Neodiprion lecontei: one gene and its partners. The protein of the gene in region 2 interacts with the protein of the main gene of each other region in a biochemical or structural test. Links are inferred from orthologs where the notes say so. Each region holds a gene or a part of one and is shown on either strand. Other genes may lie near its edges.

The links.
Region 1: the proteins of calmodulin (region 2) and neither inactivation nor afterpotential protein C interact in a test that uses a peptide from one of them, tested with the Drosophila melanogaster proteins (2 studies listed by BioGRID, with this or other methods). The link is inferred for Neodiprion lecontei from reciprocal best matches to the Drosophila melanogaster genes Cam and ninaC.
Region 3: the proteins of calmodulin (region 2) and GTP-binding protein Rit2 interact in a test that uses a peptide from one of them, tested with the Drosophila melanogaster proteins (2 studies listed by BioGRID, with this or other methods). The link is inferred for Neodiprion lecontei from reciprocal best matches to the Drosophila melanogaster genes Cam and Ric.
Region 4: the proteins of calmodulin (region 2) and myosin heavy chain 95F form a complex in vitro, tested with the Drosophila melanogaster proteins (2 studies listed by BioGRID). The link is inferred for Neodiprion lecontei from reciprocal best matches to the Drosophila melanogaster genes Cam and jar.

Annotation. Positions count from the first base shown.
Region 1 is NC_060261.1:32,099,620-32,106,706, forward strand, and holds the start of neither inactivation nor afterpotential protein C, read right to left. Parts: upstream 4,421-7,087; 5' UTR 4,375-4,420; intron 359-4,374; 5' UTR 312-358; coding exon 122-311; intron 4-121; coding exon 1-3. UniProt on the Drosophila melanogaster protein: Required for photoreceptor cell function. The ninaC proteins combines putative serine/threonine-protein kinase and myosin activities. Essential for the expression and stability of the rtp protein in the photoreceptors.
Region 2 is NC_060263.1:23,725,434-23,735,497, forward strand, and holds calmodulin, read right to left. Parts: upstream 7,108-10,064; 5' UTR 6,810-7,107; coding exon 6,807-6,809; intron 3,094-6,806; coding exon 2,919-3,093; intron 2,784-2,918; coding exon 2,541-2,783; intron 1,979-2,540; coding exon 1,950-1,978; 3' UTR 1,309-1,949; downstream 1-1,308. UniProt on the Drosophila melanogaster protein: Calmodulin mediates the control of a large number of enzymes, ion channels and other proteins by Ca(2+). Among the enzymes to be stimulated by the calmodulin-Ca(2+) complex are a number of protein kinases and phosphatases.
Region 3 is NC_060262.1:22,203,012-22,210,784, reverse strand, and holds GTP-binding protein Rit2, read right to left. Parts: upstream 4,574-7,773; 5' UTR 4,155-4,573; coding exon 4,004-4,154; intron 3,936-4,003; coding exon 3,879-3,935; intron 3,818-3,878; coding exon 3,744-3,817; intron 3,656-3,743; coding exon 3,464-3,655; intron 3,356-3,463; coding exon 3,119-3,355; 3' UTR 1,767-3,118; downstream 1-1,766. Other genes in the region: bis(5'-nucleosyl)-tetraphosphatase [asymmetrical], read left to right, coding at 1,211-1,322, 1,412-1,728; spatacsin, read left to right, coding at 6,492-6,764, 6,845-7,011, 7,157-7,510, 7,573-7,773.
Region 4 is NC_060260.1:6,605,944-6,613,045, reverse strand, and holds the start of myosin heavy chain 95F, read left to right. Parts: upstream 1-3,368; 5' UTR 3,369-3,494; coding exon 3,495-3,520; intron 3,521-4,913; coding exon 4,914-5,104; intron 5,105-5,334; coding exon 5,335-5,408; intron 5,409-5,495; coding exon 5,496-5,625; intron 5,626-5,687; coding exon 5,688-5,852; intron 5,853-5,945; coding exon 5,946-6,358; intron 6,359-6,720; coding exon 6,721-6,980; intron 6,981-7,051; coding exon 7,052-7,102. UniProt on the Drosophila melanogaster protein: Myosin is a protein that binds to actin and has ATPase activity that is activated by actin. Together CLIP-190 and jar may coordinate the interaction between the actin and microtubule cytoskeleton.

The DNA of each region.
Region 1 (7,087 bases), on a different chromosome or scaffold from region 2:
TTCCTGCGTGAAACGAACCGAGTCAATCACTGTATACCCTCTAAATCCACGCGCTCATTGTTCGTCGCGGAAAATTCCGCCCTCTATTGTTACCTCACTTGATCTTAACATTAAAACGGACCGGCCTGTAAATCCGTCGCTTCAAAGACGTCACCGCAGACTCCGGACCCGATCCGGTCCTTCAGGGTGTATCGCTTTCCCGGATCCTGGATACTATCCAGTCGTTGAAGAGTCCCTCCGCCTCCTCCTCCTGCGTCCCTGTGATCCTCGCGGCCTCCTCCCCACCCTCCGCCCCTCTCATAGTCCTCCATAATGTTCTTACCGATTTTTGTAGAACTATGATCAGGCAAAAATGTATCTGAAAGAAGAAAATTTTTGTTTAACAATTTTCTAACGTCACGTATATGGATAAATTAGTCGCATTGTCGATTATCCTCGAACAATACTCAAAGGTGCTGATGTTACATTGTGTGTTGGGATTCGAGCTTCGGTTCAGCCGATCATTTTCTCCCTCTGAAAATAGTGCATCACAGCCCAGAGGCAGAAACACGTATTCTGCTGTCAGTATCAGTTGCGGATTTATCGACGAAAATAATTGGCTTACGGGGAAATGTTGAGTGGAATGAGACACCCAGTGTGTATATATTATACGTCCGTGTGTACCGCGTATTTCTTTATTCTTAGCGGGGGTCTGCCCGATGTCGGAGTTACCGAAGAAAATTACACACGCTCCAGTAGCAGGAGGAACAGCTCCGGGAATACTTGAACGACGTGACCCTCGCGTCGCGCGTCGGCAGAATTGTCCCTCAAAGCATTATAAGCATCGCGCAGGAAGAAGCACCGCGGCTCTCAAAGCGAGTGTTAATTATTTCCGATTTCACCCCGATATTACGCAGACACTTAATAACTAATTAGTCACTAGTCGGTCGCCTGGGACGCCATCGACAAGAGTCGAAACGACAAATCCCCCCCGAGCTCTCGTCATTTTTCATCCCGAATCAGATCCCGTCGAGACAGCGCCGATGCCATACGGTTATGAGCCCTTGTGAGGCCTCGTAAGTCACTCCCTAGATCCGTTTAGTAGCTAGTTCTCGTTACGCAAGGCAAACTAGAGTCAGAGAAGTACGAGGGAAAATGAACAACAGAGAAAGGGAAACACAAGGTACAGGGAATTTCGATTTGCAAAGTCGACATGCGCAACACCCTGCAAGCTCACCCACTTGCTTACTTACAATTAGATATTGACCGAAAATCTGTTCACCGGTTCGTGCGACTCGTCTCAGCATTTATCGCGCTTCTCGTTAAACATGCCCCCAGCATTCACGTAATTCCCTAATTGGATCCCGTTAAAATTTCAAACATCACCGTTCTCCCTTCGCTCATGCGCGATCGACCTTACGTGCGTTTTGCTCTCCGTTTCGTTGATTACACATTTCTAATCAAGGCGATTTTATATTTCGAATAAACAGCCGAGAGCGTTATACGTTATAACCGTAAAAATTCACAATTCGGCAATTATTCAGCTCGACTTTTCGATGCATGAATTAATCGAGCAACGTTTTCGACGCGAAAGATCAAAATATAGAAATGTACAGAAAAATCGTGCAGTCATATTTGTAATATTATTGAAAAATATTATTTCTTTGTGACCTGCAATTCGAAATTCGGATTTGAGACACCGAGATTAATCGTTCGGATAAATAAAGTCACCGAATAGGTAACTGGTGAAAATCTATGTTAGAAATGACTCACAGACGCGGTGTTGAAAAATCATTCGCGCACCGACATTTGTTCTTTTTCGAAGAAACGTGTCTTTGCCTCGCGCGCAGATATGCGGAGCGATGAAGTTTGAATTTTCTGCTATCCTGCGCGGGGTTCAGAGAAGGAGGACGAGGAGGAGGAGCTGCTGTGGTCTCGGTGACGAGGGAGCGACGAGGGGGGTTGTTGGCGGTGACGGGTCTGTCGCTTGGTTCGATTACATCTTGCAAAAAGTCGCATTACACGCGACACGGGTTGCGAATAAATCGACGGATTATGCCAATAAGTCGCGAACCCGGGGAATAAATGAATTGGCTGATGATTCGCCTTCGAACTGTTTTACCGAGTTCGCGGTTACATCCGAGGAATTTAACGCCTCAATGAATTTTTCACCTCGAAACCTGTCCTCGTACCTCTTCACCGGAATCGCGTCCGATCCCTCATCTATATTCATTCTGAATCCTGATCTTTTTTAGTTTCGTGCGATTATGCAGAGGTACCCACATCGACACTTTAAGGATGATCCTTACTTGTTATCTCATAACCGATGCGGAAATCAATCTGTTATCGAAAAACTTCTGTGAAGCTTCAAAATTATTTCAAAAAATTAAAATACAGAGTACGATTCTCATTCTGTAATCGTTTTTTTCAGCTGAAAATTAACAACAGACGGAGAATACTTTTCCTTGAACTGGACATTTTTTCAACACGCCAAAGTTTTAGCTCAGCGATATTTGACGAGACGGATGAAGTAAAAATTATTGAAAAACCGACCAAGGTAGAGAAAAATGTATAACGTATATACTTATATATCGACGAGTAAACAATTAGTTGGCGTAAAAATAGTTTATACCCGGTGATAATTATTTCCTATAAAATATTTTCTACCCGTCCGAGAGTGGTCCGATGAAAAACAACTAATTTGATTATGTTTTCATTGCGATGCAGGGAGTGCACGCGGCCGTTTACCGCGGTATGCATTATACAGTATATAGTTTAATCAGTCCCGGGAATCTCCGGACGACTTGGACGATCGTTCTGTGAAGTTCGCACGTCTTAGTTTTTTGAGTTTCTCGGTACACCGCAACGCAGACACCGTTCCTCCCGGTCTCTTTCTTCCCTCCCCGCGTCCTCTTTCAGCCTTTTCTTCACTCCTGCTGGCCACAGATCGATACAGGGAACCATCGATACGTCAAACTTGGTCGGCTATGGGTGAGCAAAACAAGCAGGAACACGTGTTCTGGCACCTCGCGACGCGCGTCGAGGAACGCGATATCTCGTACCTTATACCTCTCTAGGGAGACACGAACAGAGAGAGAAATACGCCGCAAAGAGACGCAAAGAAAGACAAAGAGAGAGAGAAGAAGAGTGACGGCGCCGTTAATTATTGTACTAACAACCGAGATCACGGGGACGATATAGTTTAAAAAGAAGTTTTTTTTCCACATATTTGCGAAGAAAAACGTGTTCATTGGACAGGATTAGTCTATAACCTTTGGGCGGGGGTCAAAGTCCCGAAAGACCAAAAATTCGACTGGTCAACAAGCCGAAATTTTCGAGATAAGAATTTTAAAACAACGAATTATCAGCGTACCGAAGTTGGGATTTTCGATAAATCACCCAGTAGCATAACTGTTTTCCCAAAAGTTCATTTAACCGAACGCTCTCTTATCCAAAAAAGTATTTTCCGAACAGTCGGTATTCCGAATGAACAAAGCACAGAATGTTGAGATACAGACAAATAAAAGTTCCCAAATTAACATTTGAGAGCGGCTGATACTTTGAACAGACGCAGAACCGAAAATATTACTTGTCGGCAATCAAAGTTCAGAAGGAGCAAAATTACGATCCGCAAAATGTAGAAGGGCCAGAAAGTCGAAGGGCCGTAACAAGGTTGTTATAGTTGTGCAGACTTATGCTAGATGGCACTAGACAATGTTCATCGGATACGTGCGGCGTTGCAAAGAATAATTATATGTGTTTCTGATTCATCCAACTTTTCGACATTTTGGCCATTCTGTCTTTAGCGGGTTTCGGGATTCCGATCTTTCGAGTCTGGTCAGTCATTATTGATAAATTCAAATTCGCAGAATTTTGACAAAGGCACGGGTCTGACATTTGAAAAGTCGTCTTCTTGACTCTGGTATTTTCGCAATTTAATATTTTGCTCTTCGTAGTGGCCATTCTCAAAAAAATCGATATTAATTTATTTATACATGATTGCATTCTCAATTCTTATTTTTCTACAAGTCATCGTCTCGTATTTATGGTCTTTCTACGTTTTCAACTGTCGGTAGTTTGACTTTCGAGATTTCGTCCCGTCGACTTTTTGGTCTTTCACAATTTTGTACCCCACCCTATCCTTTGTTCCGTTTCATGCCATGCACAGCATCGCACACGTTTTCAACATCATTCAGCTATCCCGCGGTGTTTAGTACAAAGTTTTTTTCTTTCACAATGATAAAAACGAAACGTATAATATCTGAAAAAGAAATGAAACGGAAATGCACAGACTCGGGTGGATTTCGCAACGGAGATGAAAAAATGGGAGAGAGACGGAGGTTGTACGGTATGTATAAGAAGAAGTGCCCTTAAATTTCCGAGGACGAAACTCACCTCTAATTAAGACGTCTGGCAGACTGGCAGGTTGCAGGCCCCGCGGCGTCCGCGGCGTCCACCCTCGCAATGCGGCCGCCCCGACGCCCGGCGTTCCCTACGCCGGCTTGGCTTCCATGATCCAATAAGGCGGACCTAATTAACTAACAGCTAACTCACAAGCCTGTTAGCTCATTGATTTCACTCTCTTTCTCCCAAGCTCCTTTCCCTTGAAACATTTAACCATTTTCGACTTTTGCATTCCCCCGCGCAGCTAGGCCGGCGGATTCCCTCGCAATTTCGCAGACCTTTCAACCGATCCTTTTAATTTTCCATTATCTGATAAATTTTCAATGCCATTAGCCAAATGTTTATCCAATCATTTTTCTGAACCTATTTCTTTATTGTTCGTCCCTGTTTTGGTCGCCGTCAATAACCGACGCCGTAATATACGAACGGTTTTTTGAGACACCGGTTATAGACTGTTAATTTCCTCACGATGAGTGAAACAGACCATCTTGCACGAGAAATCACACAATAATTGTTTCGATCTACTGCTTCATATTTTTACTGTTAAATTATAAATACTGTGCGGAGTGTTGAGTACCTACTGCAGAAACTGACTTCATTTCGTTTACAATCACTTGAAAATTATAAAAAAAAATCAACGTGAATTCTGGACGTGAAGTAAGCATATATGCCGGAAATTTAACAATCTTTTGTCAATTCCTACTCCGCTACGGTCTTCTGGAAAACGCGAAAAATGAAAAAATTAATAAGCAGCGAAGCGTGTGAAAGCGGTGTATATTAGCCGACTTTGCCCGGCCATAGCCTAACCTACCCTGCACGGACGACCTCGTTTGCCGAGAGGGTAATCGGCTTAAAAGCGATCTAACAGTAAGCAAAAATGTACAGTCGTACGTGCCTGTAAATGCGTACGAAGTCCTGGGTAATTACCTCGGTGTACCGAGTCTCCTTACTTAGAACCGTGCGCGACGAAGGCTGTCTTGACTCCCGGTAGAAAGGCCTGCCAGGGACTTCTTGCATCGGCAGTGGAAGAGCAGAGTCGGATTGATGTTCTAGCACGCAAACGCACCGACTCATATTCGACGTTTCGTCAGAAACAGGACTGAATTATAATCCCGATGTCCGGAGGTTGAGAAGTTTCCTGCATGGCCGACGCACGAAGTAAACGAGAAGACACTCGGGGCAAAAACAGGCCCAATTAATCTTGCAGCTAGTTATTTGATTCGCTTGCCGAAGGACTTCTCGCGTCCGTCGAGTCTGCATTGACGTGCCTGCCGTCTCGGTAATATTAGTCTCAATAAATTAACGTGTTTTACTGTAAACTCGCATCTCTCGCTATTCGCATTAACCTCCACGCTGCAGGTAAGGAGGCGACTCTTTTGCGACGAGCTAAGCCTCGTCAAAGGTACCGACAAGATACAGGGATGAGGCTCGAAGCTTTATACTCGCGGTTTTTTATCCACACTTCTTCCTCCTTCCCACTTTTCTGCGTCATCGTTTTATACCAAAGTTTCTTCTACCCTCTCCGTCTACGATATTCTCGTATTCCCTCCCACGAGGCATTCATCATCCTTTCAAATTTACATTTTCCTACCCGGGCCGAAAACCATCGGGCTTAGGCACGTTGTATTCCAACGTTCCAGCGTTCCCATTCGCCTACGTAACACTGGAATACCATCCGGTATTTATTTTCTCATACAAAATCAATAAGGGGTTGCGGTTTGACGAGGGCCATTGAGAGAGTGTACGTATACGTACCGTGCGTACGCGATTCCTACGTATCTCGGCGAGGCTGTGCGCAACTACAAGACGTATCACTGATCGTACGATAAACCGTGTACTGGTCACACTTCGATTATAAGCGGCGCGAATCAAAGGCATCGGAAATATAAAGCTCAGGTTAATGAATAAACATTATGGAAGACCATCTCGCATCTTGCATCTCGCATCTCGGATCTCGGATCCATCGTATCTCGTGAATCGGCGATCGATCGATCTTGCCCACGCTGTGTGTGCCTTCCTACCATAGGTATACCAACGTCGAGCTCGGTGAGGAGCAAGTTTTATCAACGATCGCTGGATGCAGGTTAAGACTCGAGAGATATATTAGTCTTTCTTAAATTTTCATAAAACAACATTTGGAATTTGTGCCGGTGAATACCTTCTATATCAATAAAAATTTCAATAATCATTCTGTGAAATATGTCGAGTGTCGCTGGTTCTACGTTTTATGGAATGCGAGAAAGTTTACTTTCGCTGTCGACTGAAACCTGCTAGTTTTGTGAAAGAAAACGATGGAGCTAAAAGACGTCGATACACTTCATAGAAATGTATTTACCCGAACATAAAGGGTGTTTATCGGTCCCGTTGCATTTCCGGTAGACCGAGCTTACGAAGTGCTTTTGAATCCAGGGAAGCGTAGTTAACATGGTGATTATGACTAGATCAGGACGGAATAAGTGCTTGAAAATAGTCGAAGAGGCTTACTGCCTGTCGCTTACAGAAACGAATGAGGATCCTGGAAAAGACTTGAATGGGTAAAAGCCGGGGATTCAGTCAGCCAGGGGTGTTTTGATTGAGGTTGCATTTGAGGAGATTAGAGAAAAGAGCTGAGGCCAGAAGTTCACTAGCAGTTTTATAAAGGAACTCTTTTTATTATTGTACGTTTCAGTATACAGTCGTGCCTTTCGCGTAGTATTTATTATGG
Region 2 (10,064 bases):
TTTTAACCTGACATATTTTTTGTGAAACCCATAGTCTATGTTATTCCCAAGAATGTAAGGAAGACGTGGGTTCAAATTCTCTCTGAGAACACAGCGGGTCCATCTGTTTCTAGTTTTTCACATAGAATGCCTTTTTTACAGTACATAATTCTGCTATAAATGCATCTAAACAATGGTTTGAATATACTAACAGTGGATGTTAATAAGTTTTTCTCACACGTACATTTTAAAGTATATCAATCTGCAATAATGGCATCAATGCTTCTTATTTGTAATAAAACCTGGACGCCATTCTAAATACTGTACAAATTATACTATACAGTGATACGCCTGGCGTCTGGATATACATTTTCATGACTCAGCAAGCCATGTCATAATTGATCAATGCGTGATGGAGATTGATTGAAACACAATACGGTTATTCGTCTATTATTTTAGATCTTTCTTCGTAAAGGATTATCAAGATAAAAAAAAAAAAAGTGGTAGCTACAGTTTTCAAAGGATGCAAGGAATTCCAAAAGGAAATGACAATTTTGTGACCTAAAAATGAGGATACATTTATTTTGTCTTTTATAATCAATGCAACCTAGGTCACCAAATACATTATTAAATAAAGACTGTGGAGGAATTTTAATTTAATATATAATATATATTACATGTATTATGACTGATCCGATGGTCTTATATCGGCGTTGGTTAAGTAACATTAAGACGTGTGATGGCTCCAGCCAACCAGTCTGTTTTGCACCATTAACCGTGCAATAGTCAAACTAGTGCCAGAAAGTGCACCGATCGATAGTTCGAAAAGTGGTGCTGATGTTGTGCAGTGCAGTCCTCATTTTGAGGAGAAGTGTGTCGTGTTCGTTTGTTTGTCTACAAACATGTCAAATGTTGGTCATGTCAGGTTTAATCGAGTGAGGGCGTTATTCATACAGTCCGGGATGAGAAGGAATGTTAACAGGGTCAGTCAGACACGATCCCTGTGTGTCCCCACTTCCTTTTACTTTACGTGGTGATCATTATGGTATTAAAAATTAAATAAATATAAATATATATATTTATTTATGTACATATGTATGCATATACACATATGCATATATAAATAATATATCTTTATATTTGTTTTTGTTTGTTTTGTTGTTTTTTTTTTTTTTTGAAAAAATCAAGCATTAATTAATATTTCGTTTGTTGGTTATCTTTTCTTGTTTTTGTTATGTTACGTTACGTTTTCTCACATATTAATGTATAAATTAAAAGTATAAACCAATACTATTTTAAATTACTATTAACCTATTGATGGGTTGATACATTCCTCTGTCACATTGAGCCGAGTATCATGCCACGAAGTATTATTTAACACGGACATTTTTTGTAATTTTTTTTTTTTACATATCAGAATGTGATTCCGTTATAGGAGTTATAATTTATAATACTACGATACATAAATTCCAGATAATGTTCAAATAATGTTCCTTTTTTCTTCTCTCTTTTTAACTTTTTTCCCATTAAACACGGACATGTAGAATTAAAACAAGATACGAAGGGTAGTTTCAGAGTTATTATTAATTCAAACACAATACTTGAATATATTTCTTAAAAAATTACACAAACTTTGAACAAAATTTGATGATTATCGCAAATGTTCTATAGTACTTTACTTATTACTTGTAAATTACATCAAACTTTATTCAAAGGTCTACTCCAACTTTTCATGATACTGTTAAATATTTCCAATTCACGATGTATTAAGACTGGAAAGCAGAAATGCAGTTTCAATATTTATACTTTAAGATTTTGTTGCCGACGATGAAGATGGTTGGTATTAATTATCTTTATTACTTATTATTATAGTATTATGTTAAGTGTTGATGATAGCTTTATATTCTGGTATTCACTTCATTATCAACACCACTCCTAGTTGTGAATTATTCCCAAACATGCGTTTGCATTCACTTTGATGTCATCATTGTGACGAATTCTGTAAAACATAAAAAAACAAAGAACAGAAATAAATACGTATATTTAATTACAAACTTTCGCATTATTTCACGCAAGTTAATTGAGTCATTAAACAATCAAAATGTAGATAAACTACAGGAAGTTGTCTATCTAAATTCTAGTGCAATATTAACACTCATAAATAATTATATTTGATCGTGCTTGAATGTTTGTAGAAGATATTTGACGAACATGTCAAGCAATTCCACGTGTAGTATTACACTTTCATTCACGAAATAATTGTGGACACAGCATATCAAAGGTTAGATAAATATTAGCAAAGCTACTCTTATAACGCATGTGGGTTCTGTGGTAGAAAAGAAGAACACTGAATGAATTACATTTGTCTCTGCCAGAACGGTCTTTTCAAATGTCTTATATCCAGACAAGTGGATCATTAAACATTAATGTCTGAACCATTTCAAAATTTGGACGAAAAGATAGATTATCTCATGTATTTTCTAAGTTCGGTAATTTTCACGACATAAACCTGAGGTGAAACCAAAAACAAGCGGAAAGAAAATAGTTTGAAGACTATTTACCTTCGTAATTGACTTGCCCGTCACCGTCGATGTCAGCTTCTCTTATCATCTCATCAACTTCTTCATCTGTTAACTTTTCACCAAGATTTGTCATCACATGTCTCAACTCGGCGGCTGAGATAAAACCGTTACCATCCTTATCGAATACCCTAAACGCCTCTCTGATCTCTTCCTCGCTGTCAGTGTCCTTCATCTTACGTGCCATCATCGTTAAGAATTCGGGGAAATCGATGGTTCCATTTCCTGAAATGATTTTCAAAGATGTAAAAAATAAAATAAGAATGAAGAATCTGGATTTTTATTGGACATGATATACACGGGGAATTATAAATGGAAATGAACAAAAAATCAATTCAATTAGCACTGAATAATACACACCATCAGCATCTACTTCATTGATCATGTCTTGCAATTCTGCTTCCGTTGGGTTTTGACCAAGTGATCGCATTACTGTACCCAATTCCTTGGTTGTTATCGTGCCATCGCCATCCTTGTCGAAGAGGGAAAACGCCTCTTTGAATTCTGCAATTTGCTCCTCTGTGAGTTGGTCAGCCTGTGTATAAAAGTTTTAATGTTTTTACATTCAATACATAGAGCCATGTCATAACATTTCTTTAAATTAAAGGGTGATTTAAGGGAATATATGATGCGGGAATACCTGACCATTTTAATGTGACCGTGACCTTTATCATTTCCAATTTCATTTTCCTGTTACTATGTTGTAGCTCGTATCATGGTCTTTGTAATAAAAAAAAAACCGTGTGCCCTTAATTGGTAACGGGCCTGTATTTAGTTTGGGAGATAAGAACAAATTCGAATAAAATAGAAAAAGGACTATAGTAGATCACAACAGGATTTGAACACAAACTGCAAAATTTCCATGTTGGAGATTTTTCTTCTGGCGACTTTTTTTTGCCCTTCCAACTTTTTGTTTGAAAGGGAACAAAATGAATCTGCTCATATCACCAAAATTAAATACATGCCCATCTTTCTTCAACACAGGCTGCAAAGTTAAGTCTCTCATGAAGAATTCACGGTGTAAATTTCAATAATATGAATTCCAAACTCACAATACTTTGGCCTTCAATTTTGCAAAATGTAAATCTATCACATCATTATTAGGTGAATGCAGAACTTGCAATAAAGAAAGAACCAATGGGAACGAATAGATCTCGATATTCCATAGAAAAAATGTCATTACTGAAATCATTTGTGAAACATCAAATGATTCTATGTTTGTTTGAAAAAAATGTCTGTTACAACTATTTAGATTTCCTAGTTCAAGTAGCATCTGCTCTGGTTCCGAGTCAGAGAGTTGATTATTCCAAAGTCCGGACATTAGTATCATTATGCTTCAAAAACTTAATCAGAGTCGTGATAAAATTGATTTATCAAAGAATTCTTTCAGTAAATGTCATTCGTTACAGATATTCGCTTTTGCAATGAGTTGCCATTAGAATCGTGATCTGATGCATGGAAATTGAGTCTTGGGATGTTTTGTCCTTACCACTAATCATTGCAATAAAATTTTATAGATATGAAATAACATTTATATGACCTCATAAATACAGGGCAATAATTGTGCTTTAAATACGGTACAAGTGTAAGTAAGAACTTATCAATATAATGCTGAAAAAAAAAAAAAAATAAAAACCGGGCATATGTTTATTACTACCTCAGTTGGACTCAGGTCTAAGAATATCACAATGTGCAAGAAGAAAATTAGAAGAATTCTGCATAAAATTTAATCCTACAATTTCTGAGTAAATGAAATGTATCTTCTGAGTCACTGTACACCACTAATGACGTTGCAGGCTATAAGTTTATAATAAATTCATGTGGGAGTTTTGATGCAGTTGTACATAAAAATCAAGAATTATACGTATTATACGTATGGACGAGAGTTCTCTACATTTATGTGAACTGTTTTAATATGCAAAATACTTCTTGACCACATCCGATATAAACTCAGTGACCAATAAATGACCATAACAATAACTTACAATTAGTTTCATTCATGCATATTGCAGTTTGCTAGATCAGCAGCATTAAAAATCGCTAAAATGAAAATGTCTAAGATAAATATCTTTGATCGCAGACACGTTTCAATAGTATTCCTGGTAATCACTGGTAGTATTACAACAGTCACGCCTCAAAGATAAAATAAATATGTCAGACTGTTATTTATTGATTAATCGCATTAGGCTCAACTGATTGAAGGATAGATTTTATAAATTATCAGATAAACCAAATAGTAGTCCCAAAAATTGCCAAGTGTCAGTGATAATGATTTAAACCAGATTTTGATAAGCAAATTTTTACACTATCCAGCAGCATGCAATAACCTGGTTAAATAAAATACTGCTACCAGTGAACAATTTTGTTTTTTGTTTTTTTTTTTCGACCTTTCACATTCAGCAATAAACACGCTTTCTATAGCAGTTGGTACAGCCTGTGCCAGAACCTAAGCAATCAATTAGATCATCGCTTTAGACGTATTTTATAATTCATTTTAATTAATAAGTATAAGTTAATATTAAAGTAAAGAAAGTTATTTTCACCACCAAGCAAGTAAAGCCCGAAAATTTATCTTCTTAATCTGATTTTAAGAAACATATGCGTCTATGTTATTTTCTTGTTAACGATTTTTAGTCTTATCTGTACTTTGCCCAATGTATTTTAAATGAAACTATCACATCAAGTGAAGGCAAAAAAAAAAAAAAATCAATAAACGCGTCGGAGAAAATCGGACAAAATCTTTGTACGAATACACATGTATAAATTATATTTATAGACGTACCATATCGCGATCTTGTTAAAACCTTTCGGCTTAGGGTATTCGGTGATAACGAAATGAAAAAAATAACCTCACTACTCTTCACAAATCGAAGGTTCGAACGGTTCTGCCGTTTGCGGCAAAACGCTGCAGGTGAACCGAACAACGTCGCACAGTGGCAGGTTCGCGAATTCTCGGGGTGGCGCCGGCCAACGGGTCGAGGGTTGGGAGGGGAGGGGTTAGAGGGGGTGGGGGAGGGGCAGGAAGGAGAAGAGGTGGCAGCCAGGGACCAGGAAGCAGCGAGAAGGGGGTTGGGGGGAGGGAGGAGAGGGACAGAAGCACGGCGGGACCGGAGGGAGAAAGAGAGACAGAAGAGGACATGACAGAGCTGTACTGAGCAACTACGAAAATCAATAGCGGGTGTATAAGGCCGCCATAAAGGCTGCCATACTATTTACCGGCCTTTATATGGAGCATCGTGCGCAAGCTTGTATTCATTTATTTGTTTATTTAATCGTTTACTCCGATGATCGTAGAATCCAGTGAACATGGAAATATGAATGATGTTCTATTTACAGGTATATTATGCACGAGTGAGCACGAATAGGTGGAAATTTTGTGACTAACATAATTTCCGCTTACACGTGGGTAACGTATGTGTATAAATATAGGCTTCTCGATAAATGATACGAAATGAGAAAACGGAATTCGAAGAAATTTAGGACGGTAGAGATCAGATTAATGAAACAGTGTTCCCGGTGGTAGATTGTTAGAACCATGATACAAGTATCTCACCGTAGAATTGCGTCGATCGTCTAGAGCGGTAATAATTGTTATGATGTAATATATTGATGGTTATACGACTGAAAATTATCGTTTGGGCATCGGAATACGTGCATGTTGTAAAGCAACGTAACAGAACGTCGAGCAGGTAAATGAAAAATGGAGAAAAAGAATAGCGGGATTTAAAATTGGCATGATTCTTGCGAGGTAGGCGGAATTTTTTCCGGCATTCACAATTGCCGATGACGAGAGCACCTCGAGTCGCGACCCGGTAAGAACTGTCAACTGGTGAACCTTTAACGGTACAACGCCTTCATCAACACCAGAGTCCGGTGACAAATTGATTCTTTACAGTGTCTAGTAGATTGATCAGATCTACCGATATTTTGATAGACCACAAGTTACGTCGGATTCATTTCAATTAGAATGAGATTAATTATTAACGATAATTCTGTAGCTATATATTTATGTGTATATACATATGTGTATATATAAAATCGAGGCAAGCCTAGCGTACGATATAACGGAATAAAACGCAGTACATAATTCGGCTAGAATGTCGAATAGAGACAGATCTCGAGCAGCGAGCAATCGGCCGGATTCCATTACTATGTTGCGGGTAAAATCTGTGAAAGTTGTCGAAATTTCGATATTCCAATGATTGCGAATAGGTAAATGATATTGAATACGATTAATCGACAACTCACCATTGCAGATTCTCCTAGATATTACCGGCACACTACACAAACTCCACTACGAACCAGCGCCGCTGACACGAAATACACTTCGGACAATAATGGAAGAGAGGGTCTCTCAGTCGTCCAGGCAATACTGTGTTACTACGCCACGATAGCGATGTCGCACATAACTGTGAATAAAACTTGCGCGGTGTTTGAAAAAGTTTTTATAAATTAAATGAAAAAACTATAAAACACAGGAATAATAATTTATCATACATTTATTCACCGATGAACCATATATATCGAGGTCTGAGTTCGGATTAAGTTTCAGCCGCGCATGTGAGTAGGCTTTATAAGCGCTGGGTGCGGTCTTGTTTACAAGACTTCCTTGTCGACTCGTCTAACGTCCAAACTAAGCTCAATTCTGATTGGCTGCTACGCACCTGCAATGCGTCAACCACTAGAGCCTGTACAGTTTGCGAACGGGTCAGAGTGGTGCTGGCAGGGCTAGCTGGCTCTGGGGTTGCAGCGTGCGCTGCCGGGCTGCCTGCGTCCCTACATTTTCATCCCTCCTATCCTCCTGCGTCCTTCGTTCCTTCATTCCTCTCGGCCCTTTTCATCCTTCTGTTATATTTACGTACCCCGCCGGCATCTCGCCACCACCAACGCTGCCGCATATTATGCATTCAAATGTATACGATGTATAATTATTGTAAAATCCTCGCAGCTGAGAATTTTTAAACAATTTCTAAGTTGAATTTCATTCTTATTAGCCTGCAAGCCGTCTCGACAATAGAAAGTAAAGTTTTTCAAATGAGAATTAAAATTTTTCTTCATTATTTTGCATTCCATATTATCGCTTTATTTTTACCTGTTACAGTATGCGAATTTTTAGGTGCGAAAATATTTAGGTTGAAAGCGAGGAAATTTTGTTGCATAAAACGACGTAAATTCCTAATATGCAATATAATGGTTTGGGGTGAAATTTTCTTTGCGTCTATCGAGACGCGTTCAAACCGCATACCCAGTGCGCATTGGCTATGCGCAGGCGGGCGCGCAATGCGACACAGGACATAATCTCGTTAGAGATTCCTGAGAAGTGAGTTAAATCTTAAAACGATTATATTTATCAATGGTCTAGCGCACGAACATGCAGGCTTGACGATATTTATTATTGACTCTGAAAGCATTCTATAATTTAAACTATTATCTTGTCGTATGAAACGAAATAATCGCGAAATAGACGAGAAATCATATAACTGTAAAGAGCACATCGTCTGTAGTTGAGACCTTTTTATCTGTGCACTCGCAGTTTGGATATCTAGAATCGGAACGAATATATTATGTATGTAACTGAAAAAATTATTTGGTGCAAAATAAACATTGATATATCATTATTTTGAAACGTATCTAGGCTTGGAAAATACGTCAAAAATGCCAATGCATGATAATGTCTATTTTAATTATGAACACATTTTTCCTTGATCAATGTGCAGTACAAAACTAGAACTCACACGTTATATGCTTATACGCTCATATAATTCAGTATACATTTCCGATTACACGTGATAAAGTAATAATGATCCAGCATAATGACTGTGCTCAGAAGAAAACACGTCTGAGTGTATAAAAATTAGCGAACACCCACCCATTAGCCGTTTCATCTCATGTCTAATTTTCGTTATGAAAAGTCTATAATAATTATATACACGTGATAACGTTGACGTGTTGACTACCCACATGCACACGGTGATTATCTGCCGTGAATCATATGGGTATATACGTGTTTCTTTTCTGAAAGCCTGTTATGTAATTTTGAGTCACACTGTAGTCACACCGTTAAATGGAAGAGGTAACAAGGCGGGGACTACCTGCTGATAGAGATAAGCATGGGAGAAATTCGTTAGGGCGGATGACTAGTGTGGATTTTTATCAGATAACAGATAATCAGCGGAGATGCTGTCATTGCTATAATTGTGTAGTATTTCAAACACGATTATACACCGGTTGAAATATTGGGTTTTTAAGAAAAAGTGTAGGAATAATAGACGCCTGTTACTCATTTTATCTGTTTATAGTATAAAACATATAGCATGACGTAAAGCTTTCGTGTGTAAAATCCGTCAGCGTACCTAAAAGTAATCAATGTTTAGAGCCTAAACGGGGCATCGTGAATAACGACATAATCATAAATATCAATAATTTCATTCCACGCGATTTTCGATTCAGTTACACGTATATACCAGCTACCTGGCCTGATTATTGTAACTGTGTCATCGCAGGTATCAGCTGACGTCGCCCATCAACGCAGCGCGCACTGTACAGAGAACACGTACCTGTGATGTGTCTCTGAAATATTCGCGCGTTTATACACTTCGTGTAGAAAAACCTGTGAAAATCTACCTGGGATCGCATCGGATAATATTATCCAGCCTTATAAATTATTTACCTTATTCCTGTAAAGTAAGCCGCGTGCTTGTGCTCGGGTATGTATAACACGTACACGCCGCTACCAAAGCCGAAGGTAAAGATCAATGCTGGCCGACACATACATGGTAAAAATAAAAAAAGTAAATTCAGCGATAATGCTTGTTCCTAGGGGATAAGTGAACCAGATCTTCAACTGAATATTAACAACAACTGCAGGTCGGGACTATAAATATATGCTTCCGATCTGTACGTCCTTGAAAAAGTCAGGCTCGCTGCAGGTGATCATAAATACTGCCAGTTCGTTGAAAAGTTCGCGGAATAATTAATAATAATTGGTAGCCGGCTGTTGGGGTAGTTAATCAGTTAAATAAGGGTATGCGGCAACTCTTGACAGATAATGATTACCGGCACACAACGGTGCGAATATAAATTCCTACTCTTATTGCAAGCTCAAGCTTTGGAGGGATACGCGAAGGGCGTGCTACACAAATAAATGCTCGTTATTATACTGCGACTCCAAGGTCATCTGAACCGGCAACGTTACCGCAATTAATCTGCTTGATTAACTAAACGGCACAAACTTTTGTAACGTATTATATTTTTGAGCAGCCTTATCTCTGTGATCTGGAATACTTCTTTATTGTTGTACAGCGAGATTATAACCATAATCGCGTTCTTACATAAATACGTAGTACATGTACATACGAGTATATGTACGATAGCTATATATGTATAGCATGCACTCAAACGACAATACGTATCAGGAGAAATAATAAATCCTCGTTGTACCTTCAATAATTAAACTAATTCAAAAACGTACACTTTGAACTTGACGTCGTATGAATAAATAATCAA
Region 3 (7,773 bases), on a different chromosome or scaffold from region 2:
CTGACGAAGAGATTCAAATTTCTTATGCAAATTCCTACATATATTCTCAGTAGTTTCAACAGCTCTTTGTTTAAGTTTCTTATTTTTAACTAATTATTCTCAATTCAGAACGCAATATTCGTTGCGTCTTTTATAAGAGTCCATGCCTGAAAATTCAACTGTCTCATTTTAATATTCGTGCACAGTGTGGACAGAACTTCTTAAATAATTCAGGTATACCTCTACAATAGTGCGGAGAATATTAATACAAGGTTTAGAATTTTTTTGCACTTTTATTACACTAGTGAAACTGTGATAAATGACCCTGTAGAACAAAACATCTGAAAACTATTCTTCACATACTTGTTTACACTGTATGCACACGAAGATGTATTAGGTATTTATATTTATTGAATAGTGCAAAATAAATTTCCTGCTTACGTTAACATAAGATGCATGTAACGTATTGTTCTATTCAAATTGATTGAATAAATTATTGGTATTCCTCATTCGTTGAATAATGTTTGTACAATCATTTAGCTGCGATGATTGTGATTTCTTACATCAACAGATTTAAGTACCGTGAGGAATCACTCAGAAGTTTTTTTTTTTTTTATTAAATTCAATTCTCTACTCCAATCCCCAGAATTATCCTGGATCGTGTAATAACAATAATAGTAATTACAATCAAACCCGTTATAACCTATATGGAAGATGTTCGATATGCAAAACTGCAGAAAATATTGCTCGGGTGTCTCCGGATCGAGTTCAAACCTCAGCTTGACGATCCGCCTGACAACCGATAATCAATTTTCTACGTCTCATTAACGCGCTGATGATTTAGATTTAAGTCCTACCAATAATCTCTGTAGTATCCTCCCGTTCCGTAGTCTCGCATGATTCGCACGCTGTACGCACATTGATCCCTATTGTATAATAGAGATCAGTGTAGTCGTGACGCTGCTGCAGTCGGTCATAACCATAATCAATGTAACTTGAACTTTATTTTAATGAGCGCCGTGGCGTGATTCTCATTCTCTTTTCACCAGTGAAAACTGACAAACGCGATATAGACCAGCAGGAAGCAGCTTTAAACCTGGTCTGAACGGAAAATCCTCTTTTAGTCGGTGAAGCTTGCATGCATACGTGCATGTATAAGCAATCTAATTTTCAGAAACAGTGGAACCACTGATATATAGTGTAGTTATATATCAGTGAGTGAAACACGGGGATGGCGCCGCCACGAGCCTGCGGTTTCGTGATATTTCGTAGGTTTTTCGGACAAGTTGAGTATTTATTGATGCAGACATCGTACGGAATTCATCACTGGACTCCCCCGAAAGGTTGTTTGATATTATATTCATGAAAAGATTTGGAATAAGCGTTTGTTCCTAATCTGTTAATTTTTATTCATGACAATTGACAATCGCAGGTCACGTGGATCCTGGTGAAACAGATTTACAAACCGCCTTGCGTGAGACCGAAGAAGAGGCTGGTTTGTCGCGCGAGGATTTGAAAATATTTGACAACGCTAGACAAGAGCTTGTTTACAACGTTAATGATAAACCAAAAACAGTTATTTATTGGCTTGCCGAGCTGATAAACAGAAATAAGGACGCCAGACTATCGTCCGAGCATCAGGAATTCCGATGGCTTTGTCTCCAAGATGCGTGTCGATTGGCGGGATACGAAGAAATGCAAAACACCCTGAAATACTTTGACAGATATATCGTAGAGAATGAACTGTAATAATTAACATATAAAAATAAATAATTTTTTCCGCATTATTTTGCTTTCGATATTCATACATACTGTAGTTAACATTTCGACGGACAGAATGGTCAGCTTTAAATCTTTATACACATTTTATTTTTCTTTCCTCAAAAACCACGAGTTATATTACAAGTTGTAATCGTGGAAAATTTGGTTATTTAAATACTTCATTTTTCTTCTGCTCAATTTTTATATCGTACATCATTGTTGGTACATACAGTATTCAAATAGGGTATACTTATAAATTGCATGAGGTACACTATATTGAGAATGATTCTTTTATTGACAAATAATATTCTGCTAGTGAAGCTAGAGGTGCATGTTTTCCTTTCTTTTATTACTTAATTAAGCGATACAGTAAACAAATATGGTAAACATATTCTTATCTAATTTACGTGTTTACATACATTTTATGTACGCGATAATAATTATATATCATTTGTTTGTATAAATATAAATCACATCTTCAGTGTTTTTATAATAAATAATAATAACAGTAAGAAAAATAATATTTAAACCGTAGCTGCATATCAACATTATTTAATGTTTTTAACTTGAACTTTATTTTGTGGCTCCTCTTTATAAGTCAAGCACTCAATAACAGCATATCTATTACTATTTTTTATACGAAAACTATAAGAGACTCATCTCTACCGTAATGCTTAATTTATTCAATTTGATTATTGTCAGGCGACGATTCAAGGGTCTGATTGCTTCTTCATATTGATAGGTAAATTAAGCTTTTAATTATTTATCTTTCGTGTCTCCTACGAGTAATAAACTGTGCAGATTAAACATATACCCACTAAGCATGCTCTTCTGTGTTAGAGAAATTAAAATTACGATAATCATGCACAGGTATTCAATACGAGTTATACTCCAATTCAATGATTAATAATATTTACTCTGCTGTTATTTGTACATACATACACCTATAACAATAAACTGTGAATTTAACGTAATTAAACATGTGTGTAAACGAAGTTAATAAATATATGTATGCATACAAGTATACTGTATGTGTATTGTATTTGTTTCTGTATCTAAAAAACAATAATTAGAAAAAAATTTAAAAAAACTTAAATCTTCAACCCAATGACTAGTGAATAGTAATATTCTGTAAATGACTAGAGTTGAAAACTACTTTTACACATGAATATGTCTCTCTGCTCAAAGAGAAAAAACACATTAATTATGTCTTGTATATTGACATTGCCTATTGAAAAATACTTCACGAAAGACCTGAATATGGTCATCAAACAACTTCGGAAGAGTCGTTTATAGTCAATTCTCAAATAATTATTGTTCCCCTTATCATCATCTCAGAGAAGAAAGTGCCACGAATTTCGACTGAGAGATGCTATTACTAGGGTGAATAGTGATCAGCGTGCCGATGTCTTCTGCGGAATACAAAAGCAAATATAGACCTGAGACGCCACCAGCGACTGTGCTTTCGACTCGCTCCTTGCGGCCTTTCTTTAGCACGAATTTGTCTAACTAGCGAGTGAAAAGCATCATCCACAAAGTGCCTAAGAGCTGCAGATGTCTCATAGAAAGGACATCCCAACTGCCTAGCAAGTGCTTTACCCTCCTCAGTAGTCACCTAAAAAGTAGAGCAAGAATCTGTCTCAACAATTCACTTTCTGATTTAAATAACGTTATTTCAGTATCACCGAAGAAAGTTGTTGACTGAAAAGCGAACAAATCTCACTTTGCGCTGGTGCTGCAAGTCAAATTTATTGCCCACTAGTACCAGAGGAATGTCTTCCTGGGCTCTAACACGGGAGATTAGTTTACGATACTCGATCGCCTCCTGGAAGCTGTGTCGGTCTGTAACTGAGTAGCAGATCATAAAACCTTCGCCGCACCTCATATACTGATCTCTCATAGCGGTGAATTCAACCTAAGAGGAGAGAAGGTGGTGCAATGAGTAATGGACATTTGTCATTAGATGAAAATCTACTTCGTAGCAAAGTAGGTGGAGGACTCACCTGCCCAGCTGTGTCCAGGATATCCAGTAAAGCGGCTTCTCCGTCAATGACTGCTTGCTGCTGGTACGAATCCTCTGAAAACATTAACATGAAACGATCCTTGCTACGCCAACGACTTGGGTACTTATAGCTCACCTATAGTGGGATCGTGATAGTCGAGGAAACTGTGGCTAACAAACTGCAGAGTAACAGCTGAAACGAAAAACCAGTAGTATTAATGGTCACGCAAGTTTAGCCTCTCGTCTCGATCGACGTCTTACCTGATTTCCCAACGCCGCCATCTCCCAGTACAACAATTTTATAAACCCTGAGACCACCTCTGGTGGTCGGTTGAGTGGGTATGGGAATGCTGTTGATTAGAGGGGCGACGACGAAGTTGTCATCGGCCGAGGGTGGCTCATTGACAGACATAGCGATGGGGTCGTTAGGTCGGCTCAGAATGAGTCTGAGCCCGCGTTATTCTGTTATCATAACCCGGTTCTCGGCTCAGAGACCCGGTGTTCACATACTAGAATGGTATTAACTGGACGAAAAGCAGGTGGATGATCGGGGATAGCTGGTGACGTTTCGCGGATTACGCAGCTGTGATCGATTTCCAATCGCCTCTCGTGCATATTTGGTTACGAGGGTAATCATTCGGCCACCGTGGGCCGACCGCTATAACGTTCGATTGATATTTAACATCGATTAAACCTTCACCGAACACACTCGACCGCGTTTAATACGGATGTACTAAAAATCATACTCCGACAGCCGCTCTCGACGACCCTGAAATCATTACGCACGCGTAGCGTCGACCCGAAAACCGCCATCTTGTACACAAATGTCACTTTTACGATCGCGTGTATACATTTCACATTTCACGAATGCGTGATTGCATACATACATACATAGGTATGTATGTCTTTAAATCACGACAGATGTGCGTGCTGGCTGTTTGATCGCCTGGGCTAAGATAAATTCGACTGATGAGCGTCGTTTCAACGTAAACGGAAATATTTACCTCAGGAATGTGGATTATATGGTGTAGATTTCAAGCATATCTCACGCAAACGAAAAAAAGAGACAGATTTTTTGGATAGCCACTAATCCGAATTTTACAAGAAAACTGATTGCATAATAAGAATATTAATATGAATTAATCTTTGTATTGTTGTGATTAATTGCATTTAACAATTGAATCGTAATAGTATAAAACAGGGTATATTCAAGTGAAGAACCAAGAATTAGGAAGAGTGAAATGTAATGTTGAACACTTAAAAACATAATATAATAACATGTAACAACATGTAATAACAAGAATGAAATACTAATACTATTATTATACATACCTACGTATTTAGTCGCTTTCTAGTTTTTTTCTGTTTGAATTGTAATGCAATTTCAATTCGATCCAATTGTACTCCGGTAGACATAATTTCTACTTTTATCTATGAATCCGATTTTACGATTAATCAGAGAAATTCGGACACCTGCGTAGTTTGAGCTTAGAATTTTTTGTAGATTATCGTATTCGTTAGTGAAATATTATACTTTTTCGTATATTATAGCTGTTTATTATAAATGATTATAGAACGGTTCGCATTTACACGATCGTTTTTCTTATATGAAAGCTTGAAATAGATATATAATGTGTTGTAGAATATCGTAGAATTCTTGCTATAGAGAAATAAATTTTAGTTATTTCGTGAAATCCACCTGTCAGTTCAACAAATGAATGAATAATGAAAAGATTAACATTTGTTATTTCTCTATATCAGAATTTTCACAATATATATTTTACATTATATCCATTTGAACTATACGAATAACGATCACGTAAATGCGAGCCATACCATAATTTTCTATAATACGAAAAATTACGATTAACTACGAATATCAAGTGCTAAAACTAAAAGAAAATTGTACCATTTTACGATAATCTGCGAAAGATTACAATATTTTATAAAAAAGTACAATAATCTACGGAATACTGTGATTTTCTACGAATATCAAGACCAAAAAGTTTAGAAAATTAACGAAAATTACGAAAAATAAACGACAACGATTTAGAGCAGATTAAAAAAATCTACGAAAATCTATGAAAAAGTACATACAATGATCTACAAAAGAATTCTACGCCAAAACTACGCACGCGTTCGAATTTCTGTACTAAATCGTAAAAATTTTCGTCAACATCGTAAAATGAAATTCGTAGTTTAGCGTGGAAATTATTTTCATCCCTATTCGATCCTAATTTATAAATTTAAATTCACATGGGAGGAAACTTTGAAAATTAAAAAAATGACATCAACAAAACTAATTAATCTGAAACTTTCCGTGTGTATCATACTACTTTGCAAAGCTTAGTCAACAAATCAGAATTCTTCGATGGTGGGAAATGTGAAAAGTGAAAAAATGTAATACGCTCCTAGGTCTTCAGGCTTCTCGCTGTTTCCAGTGTAAAATGAAAAATGTTACCAGGCTTGGATTTGTATCAAGATGGCTGCCACCAGTTGTCAATTGTCGATCGGTCAACGAGTAGAATAACTGTCAGTAAATCTGAAAAACTTTTAATCCTGATCTATAATACGTTATCGATTACCCAGAACGAAAGATAAATATGCAAGTATTTTTTCATGTAAAGGAAAGGAGGAAAGGTTAGGTTAGATTGTACTATTGTCACGTGCAGTACTTTGCCCCGTTTGACAGCTCATCCTGTTATCTCACGATCCCTGTGATTGTCGTTAATCAAATGGTGTTTGAACAATGGATACTGTGGGCGGTATTCCGGTCGAGTGTCTAACGGGTGAATTGGCAGGTGTTTGGTCAGGTTGGCGTATACTGGGGGACCGTGAGATAGTCAGAGAAGCATCGGCAAAAGGGACGCACATTAATTTGGCCATAAAATGTCTTGCGACAAGGAGAAACTGCCCACTTACAGAGGCAGAAGCTTATTTTTATCGCGAGGTCGACGTTTGGGTAAAGGAGCTGCTTGACAAACAGCAAGTCTTCAGAGCCACCCACATACTAAAAAATGCGGTGAGCTTTAGTTCTCTCTCATCTATCTTTGATCAAGCTGATCATTTTCTCACTATCATTCTTATTCTTTAATACTACAGGGAAAAAATCCCAAGGAATATATCAACGTCATTTGCATCAATAGCAGAGATCAGAAACTGCGCGATTACTTGGTACAACATTTGAGGAAAATAGACGGGCTCCAGGCATCAGAATTAAAAGCGTGGCAGCTTTTTAACATCATGAATGACTATAAGGCCAAATATTTGTACGTGTGATTTAAAAGAAAATTGGCTCAAAAATTCTCCTTTTACTAACTCTACTTGTTGCATAAATGCAAAAGCTTTGAGTTAACTTATTTTATCAAATATACCATGATTTACATTAGGAAAGTTAGTTTTTTCTAATTCTAGCGTGGAAGATGATCCTATAACCAATAAGTCAATTGAAGAGATTATCCAGATGCCAGAAGATTTGAAGATAATCATATGTACGGATTTATACTTTCATACATTCCAAGGAGAATTGGTAGAGTATTTGTCGAGCCAAATTGTTTGGGATTATCTATTAATGAGGAATAAAGTTGACCTGATTTTATTTTGGATTGACATCAACTATGGAGTCCATCAATTGAATCCTTCATCTAAAGACAAAGAGCTGTATGAAGCACTGAAGCATTTGAAAATTACTGACAACGTGATAGACTCCACTCAGCAGTCAAGCGCTGCCAGTATCACCAAAGAAGTAGTCCTAGATTACTTGGGCAGGTATATGTAAAACGTGTCTGCAGACTTTGTTGTCTGTCTAACATGCAATTTCCAAATTTCAGGTATGGAGTTTTCACATCCAATGAAGCTGTAAGTGTTAAACACGTGCTGACTAGATTATTAAACAATAAAATAGTTCCAGCAAAATTCGAGAAGATACTCAGTCAGCCTAGCTGTAATATACAAAACAGGAATCTGCTGTCCAAGTTGAATATTGAACTCTATTCAAAATCTTATTTGGAGGAGGACCATATGCTTGATGT
Region 4 (7,102 bases), on a different chromosome or scaffold from region 2:
TCCCTCGCACCTTCCTACGCCCCTACCTAAAGTAGAACCTGCCCACTTATTCAACCGGTTTTCGACTCTTCGAGTCCTGAGAACAGCTGACGGGTCCTGCAACCTATATTATCACAGGACATTGTACCACTGTCTTTGGAATTGCTCGGGCGATCGGTTATCGATATTTTCAATTGGGGATTAAGACTACATTAGCAACTGTGTTAGAAAGGTCTGAACCCCATTAGTTATTTAATGACTGGATTTAGGCATAGAACGAAATTGTCGAAGAGAAGCGAGCGACCAAAGTTCTACACGAATTAATTTTTCCCGGAATCCGCTCCAGCTTCGACAATTTTCAACGGATTTCGACGAAATTTTTAAGACAACGTTCGATTCGATCTATGCTTTGCAACTAATGTTTTTACCGCGACTGCTTCCAGCCGCGTAAAAAGAAAACGAGTGCCACGTAATTGCACTTGAAAAGACTCGGTAAAAGACATTAAAACTATAATCCTGAATTATTGCACTCGTTACAACAGTCCTTAAAACTCCTCCGTGTCCCAAACTGCAACGCGTGAAGTGGAAACCAGGTCCAGAATTCGATCTTTACTCCTACACATGTGACCGTCTATTTGACGTATTTCCCCGAGGTCACGACCAGCGGCAATTCCGTCTCTTCTCACTTTCTAACACGTTTAACATACGACGTAATCGCAGCGTGTCATGAGTCATCGGAGTGATAATAAAATCCGTTCACGTGTATATACAAGACGTAGACGAGTGAATGGTCGAGAAACAGACCGCTCCACGATCAGCTGTTCGATTCGTAGCGCGCGTGGGTTTAACTGTAAAAAAAAGTGCGGGCGCTCCGTGACCGAGCGGACAATCGCGACAGGATATTTTTTATTATATATAACTGTAGAAATGACGAGGGCAGACATTACTGTCGCAATAAACCGAGGATGATTACGAGATAAGTTCTCCTCCTCCTTCTCTACTCCGCGGGTCGACGAAGTGCTCGAGGTGTGACCATAAACCGCGTCCACCAAAGTCAGCACTCTTGCCGTCGTTGCACACGGCGTGGTTTCCTCCTCCGGTACCTTCTTTTCGGTCCCACGTTTTTTCGCCATGGTCAACGAACCCTTTCCGACTACCAGACGCGGCGATCTCGATCCGTCGAATCCGTTGCCCTCGCGGACTCGTGATTCTTGACCTTTTCACGTTCACGTTCACGTTCACGGAAGTTCTTTCGAATGTAATTCACGCCACTCGCACTGCCCGGGTCAACTCAACGTCGAAAGCACCTCCGGCTGGCTGTTGACACCACGAAAAACGCACTCGCGGTCAGCCATCCGTGTCTCCCAAGTTCCTGTGGCCCCCTGTCTGACCATTCGCTTTTAACCCATTGTACTATTCACTACCGTAGGACAATACGTACGTAGGCATTATCCGCATTTCCTGCCACAGGAAATCGACGTTCCGGTAGGAAATATCCGCCCGTCACTCCGATATTGAACAGCCCACGCCTTTCGCCGACGTATCGATCTTCGGATCTAAGGGAGCTTTCGTGAATAGAACTCAACCTTTCCGAAGAATCGAGTCTTGTGAGTCCCTCTTAGCTTATCGATGATTACGACTTGTACAGAAATTACCAAATGAAACTATCGCCACTTCTTGACTGCAACGTGATAGTATATGTATATATATGTATACGCGGTATTGCGAAGCTCGAGTTCTTGAGGCGATTTCAGCCGGCCTGAGCGGCGTACATGTGCATTCTAGATGCTCCGTTATAATCATAATTGAGCTAATCTCCCTAACGGCCGGTCGCAAGCAGCAACGTAGTGGATATTTACTGTTGGACTCTTTTCGAACCGGTTTTATACCCGCCTTGGTCGCATCTATCGGTCTCCGTCGAAACGTTTCGTTTTGACAGATAGTAACCCGTTTGAAACTGCAGACGAGAATAACGCTCCCTGTTTCTGGTATTCGAAGGAATATTCCAGACACGCAGTCATTCGGAGCTTCTTATCAAAACATTATCCGACGCCAAGATACCGCAGCGTTCGCCGTTTACATCATCGACCACCAGATACGTATATTTCTGGCATTTTGAATATCCGCATGACTGAAATACGTATAGAACATCCGTTTTTGACTGAAGATTTTTCGTGTTTATACGTGTACGTGGAAACCCTCGATATTTGAACTGTTAAATCACATTTTACCAAGTTCCATTTCTGCAGTTTAGCAGTTTCACTTTTTTTTTATTAAATTGCCATTGGTGCGGTACGTTACGTAACGTCAACAAATGTCAGCGCGATATTTTCTGACCTGAATTCGATAATGTCAAGCGTTCTATTCGTAACTTTGTATTCGAGATGTTGAGAAATTTATAACTCGTTGGAGATTCACTTTGTCCGTGAATTCTAGTGATTCGATAATTTGCGAGTACCTGGTTAAAAAACATTTGTTGCAAATTCCATCTGACCTGCAGGTAAAACTGAAAAATTTTTCCTTCTAAGAAAAGAAGACAGATTCGTACATAAAATTAATATCGCGCTGAATACTAAAACGTTATCGCCGACTGACTTTACGAATTTATTGGCAAAGCGAAATATCCATGTTCCGCAGCAGTCAACGACCGCTAATACGAGTCTAGGCAATAATTTGACGCAATAGCTTGGCAAGCATTCGATGAAACGGTGAAATAATTCCAGCGAATAATGTCAGCCGTGGTTTATTTACTGCCTAGGTCTTTAAATCGAGTTACGTGAATATGAATTGATCAGGGAAAAGTTAAGATATTCCGTTATTAAAATCTATCGCAGTAATCTCACTGCAGGACACTTCGTTTGCTGTTTATTGGGACTGAAATATCAGCGTGAGATTCGTTTATAAATAAATATCTGTTTTTAAGTAATCATATATTATACCTATTGAAGGTCGGTGTTATCGAAATTACTGTCGAATCACATTGAGTACTTGTCAAAAATGAAAGATAATATTGAAACAGCGTCGTCGAAACCTCTGCGGTTTCTAATCTCATCGTGCCTTCTATATTACTTCATCCCTATTATAAATAAAACAGCGCGATATCACAGCCAGTAAAGATCAAGCCTCAAAATACCCGCGGAATTGTTTTTTGACCTGAAAAATTTGCCATTTCGTGTTTTTCTCACTTTAGCGATTCGTCATTACCGATGGATTGGACAATGAGACTCGCGATCGTGTTTTCTTTGTTGCGAAAAATTGAACGATCATTCTGCAAGCATTACGGGCTCTTTGGGACCGCCGACCGGTTGCTGAGCAGCCACTTTGATAATGCGATAATAAGATAAGCGGCTCGCGTTATCCGAATATCGCTTCAATTGTTCTCACTCTGCGGTAGCAAGGCGACGCCCGTCGACTAGTTTGAAGTGCTTTTCAGTTTGCTGCAGGTCGTGATTGTGTCAAATACTCGAGTGTTCCAAGTTTCCTGTTTCGGAGCTAAAACGCGGAGGTTGAAAAAAATGCCTCCGAAAAATTCGGCCGTCAAGTAAGCTAACAATTTTTTCCCCCGTAATAACACTATCCCTAATTTGACTGTAAATTACCAATTTCTCGAAGTCTCGATTTTGCAGACTGTAATTAACACCTGAGAATAATTTCTCGTCTTATTGTTTCTAACGGCTTAACCGTTAAGTAAGAAAAGTCCAAGTAGTACGCTTAATGGTGACAGCGAATTGAATATTGATAAAAAAAAAAAGTTTAGAACAAAGTTTACGCCAATCAGAAAAGACCAGCTACTGTAACGATGATAAATTAGGAAAGCGTAAAGAGCGAGGATTGGCATTAAGAAACAAAGTGAAAACACGGTGTAATATTATGTTGACAAACCGATGGGTCACGCGACCGTAAAATACAATTATCCGATCCGTTCGCCGGCAACGAGTGAAAGTAATTACGCACAATTATCAAAAGAATTGCGAGGAATAAAAAATAAAAAACAAGGCAAAATTTTAAATATTAAAATCAGGGTCTGACGGTCCTCTGACGTGTGCCGTTATATCGACGTTGAAGCAGCACTAGTGCTAAACTTTTACTCGGTCGATAGTACTTATAGCGCTCCGTCTTCATGCACGTATGCTTGTTTGCGAGTGTAAGCTGGAAAAGAAGGACAGCAACCCAGATATATAAGGAAATTACTTTATCGTGTGTCGGAGCATATTTGTCATAGGTTTTCCGCCACGTTGTAACGTTGGGATATTTTGCGAAAAGAATCTTGTGACTTGCATTATAATCGATGTATCGATTGCTGCCAATTAACGGTATTAAGCATTCTTTGATAGACTGATAATTGTGATACCGTCGATAATTAATTGCTGGTTGTGAGTTCGATAGCGACATTAGTGAGAGAGTTATCCTGAAGAGGTTCGTAAGCAAACAAGGAGAAAACGGGATCGAGAAACGGCGAGATAAGGGTGCTTTTAGAATCAGGTTTCAAGGCCTATAAGCTCAATACCCAGTAAAGTAAGCATCTTGATTAGGCTTCGATCTCATCGCGTTATATTGCGATAGATATAATAGATCGAAGTAAAGTTATTTTCGAACTCAGCCTGAAGCAGAGAAGCTCGCTGATTAGGAAAGACGAAGGTATAAAACCGCGTCGTCGAAGGCACATAGGTACATACACAATGAAATCCAGGTCAATCCCGATAATGGAATACCCAGATCTAACGGATGGCCATTGAATTTCACCGGCTATATTTAGACGGAGATTATAACACAACACTCGCGCACGTAAATGTCGAGAATCACATGACTCGCTTTTATACCGCCTTTCTTATCATTCATCAGCGATGACAGATACCCTCGTGTCCTTGCCACGCGAGGAATCTGTTCTAGAAAAGCGTAGAAGGTCTCTTGTAAAAGGATTCGTCTATCTTTAGCTCGGGAGGGATGGAGAACCAGCAGGTATGGGTCAGGGACCCACAGGAGGGTTTCATCATCGGCAAATTTGTCGACATGGTCGATGGTGACGCTCTGATAAAGCCTCTGGACGCCAAGCTTCCCCAACGGACATGTCCTTTGGACGAGGTTTACCCGGCTGGCGAGTACACAGCGGACGTGGAGGACAACTGTAAGTGTCAATTCAAGTACATTGACGATGCACGTTTAGGAAAATCGTTACTTCGCAGCCTTGGGATTGTCTGAAATTCAGTTATTAAATCATGAGAAAGAAAACATGTTCATATTTTGAAAAGCCAACTCTATGAAAGTGGTTCCAAAATTGTACAACGATTGATTCCATCATGTTTCGTCACGTTAACGTTACTGACTTCGACGTGGTTTAATATGACCGTTGTTTAGGTGCTCTGATGTATCTGAACGAGGCAACACTGTTGAACAATATCCGCACGAGATACTTCAAGGACAAGATATACGTGAGTTTTAAATATTGTTTAACAATCAGTTTTCTGTAATAGTTCGGTACAGTTTTTTGAAACCGTCGAATATTCACTCTGTTTCAGTCCTACGTCGCCAATATTCTCATCGCCGTTAATCCCTACTACGAAATGAAAGATCTTTACTCCACAAAGACATTGAGATCTTACCAGGGAAAATCCCTGGGTGAAACTCCACCCCACGTTTTTGCAATCGGTAAGATTTATCGTCGACTATTTTCCCGAAGGGTTTTCACAGGTACCCTGCTCTGTTTGCAGCTGACAAAGCCTTTCGGGACATGAAAGTCCTGAAACAATCTCAGAGCATCATAGTGTCCGGTGAATCTGGAGCGGGAAAAACTGAATCCACCAAATACTTGCTCCGCTATTTGTGTGACCTTTGGGGTTCCACCGCGGGACCTATTGAACAGAAAATTCTTGACGGTGAGTGGCGAGCTACGTACCGTGAAAACAGTCATTTCTACCCTTATTCGATCAGAGTTACAACCCAATCCTGTTCATCCTCTTCATGAACAGCAAACCCGGTGTTGGAGGCGTTTGGAAACGCGAAGACTAAGCGGAACAACAATAGTTCTCGTTTCGGTAAATTCATGGAGGTTCACTTCGACGCCAAGTGTCAGGTCGTGGGTGGTTACATATCTCACTATCTACTAGAGAAGTCACGAGTCTGTCTGCAGAGTTCGGACGAGAGAAACTACCACGTCTTTTACATGATGTGCGCCGGAGCGCCGGCTGACCTCAGAGCGAAACTCGGCATCACTAAGCCTGACGATTTTCAATATCTGAAGAATGGTTGCGGCCAGTACTTCTGCAGCTCCGCTTCGGAGAAGAAATTGAACAACGCTCAGAAGAGCAAGGACCAGATCAGTAAGGGCAGTCTCAGGGATCCGATACTCGACGACGTTGAGGGATTCACCGCAATGGACCAGGTATACATTTTTTCTTAGATTTTATCAACAGCGCCATCGATCTCACATTTGGCAAGAGCTTGCAAGAGCTTGCAAGTCTCCTAGCACCGATTTACTGGTTCCCTTTTCATCGGCACTTTGAGAATCATACATCACCACTAACATGTTCTTGTTGTTTTAAAACGCTGGATATGGATTTTGTCTCGTCAAATAGGAGAGAGCAACGGTAACGAACGACTTCCGTCACTCCGTAGGTCTTAGACGACTAGCGAGTTTAGTGGATGGAAATTTTTTCTAGAAAAAGTAGGAATCCTGGAGGCGCTCAACATTTCCAATCGGTGCTGAGTCTTTTACTCTGTCTTTTATTGTTTCCCTGAAACCAGGCTTTGACGCGACTGGGTTTGACGGACGTTGAACGGATGGAAATCTACACGATGGTGGCGGCCGTTCTTCACCTCGGCAATATCACATTCGAGGACAATCCGGAGGATACGAAAGGCGGTTCGAGGATTACAGCAGACTCTGAAAAGTCCGTAGTAACCACAGCCACTCTACTCGGCGTCGACGCTGACGAATTGAGGCAGGCTCTGGTCTCAAAAGTGATGCAAACCAGCCGCGGCGGCATCAAGGGAACGGTTATCATGTGAGCATTGATGATTCTGCTTCTTTAATGTGTCTAGGTGGTTTATCAATAACCTTGCGGACTTTTCCAAGGGTGCCACTGAAGGTCTACGAGGCATGCAGCGGGCGCGACGCGCTTGCTAA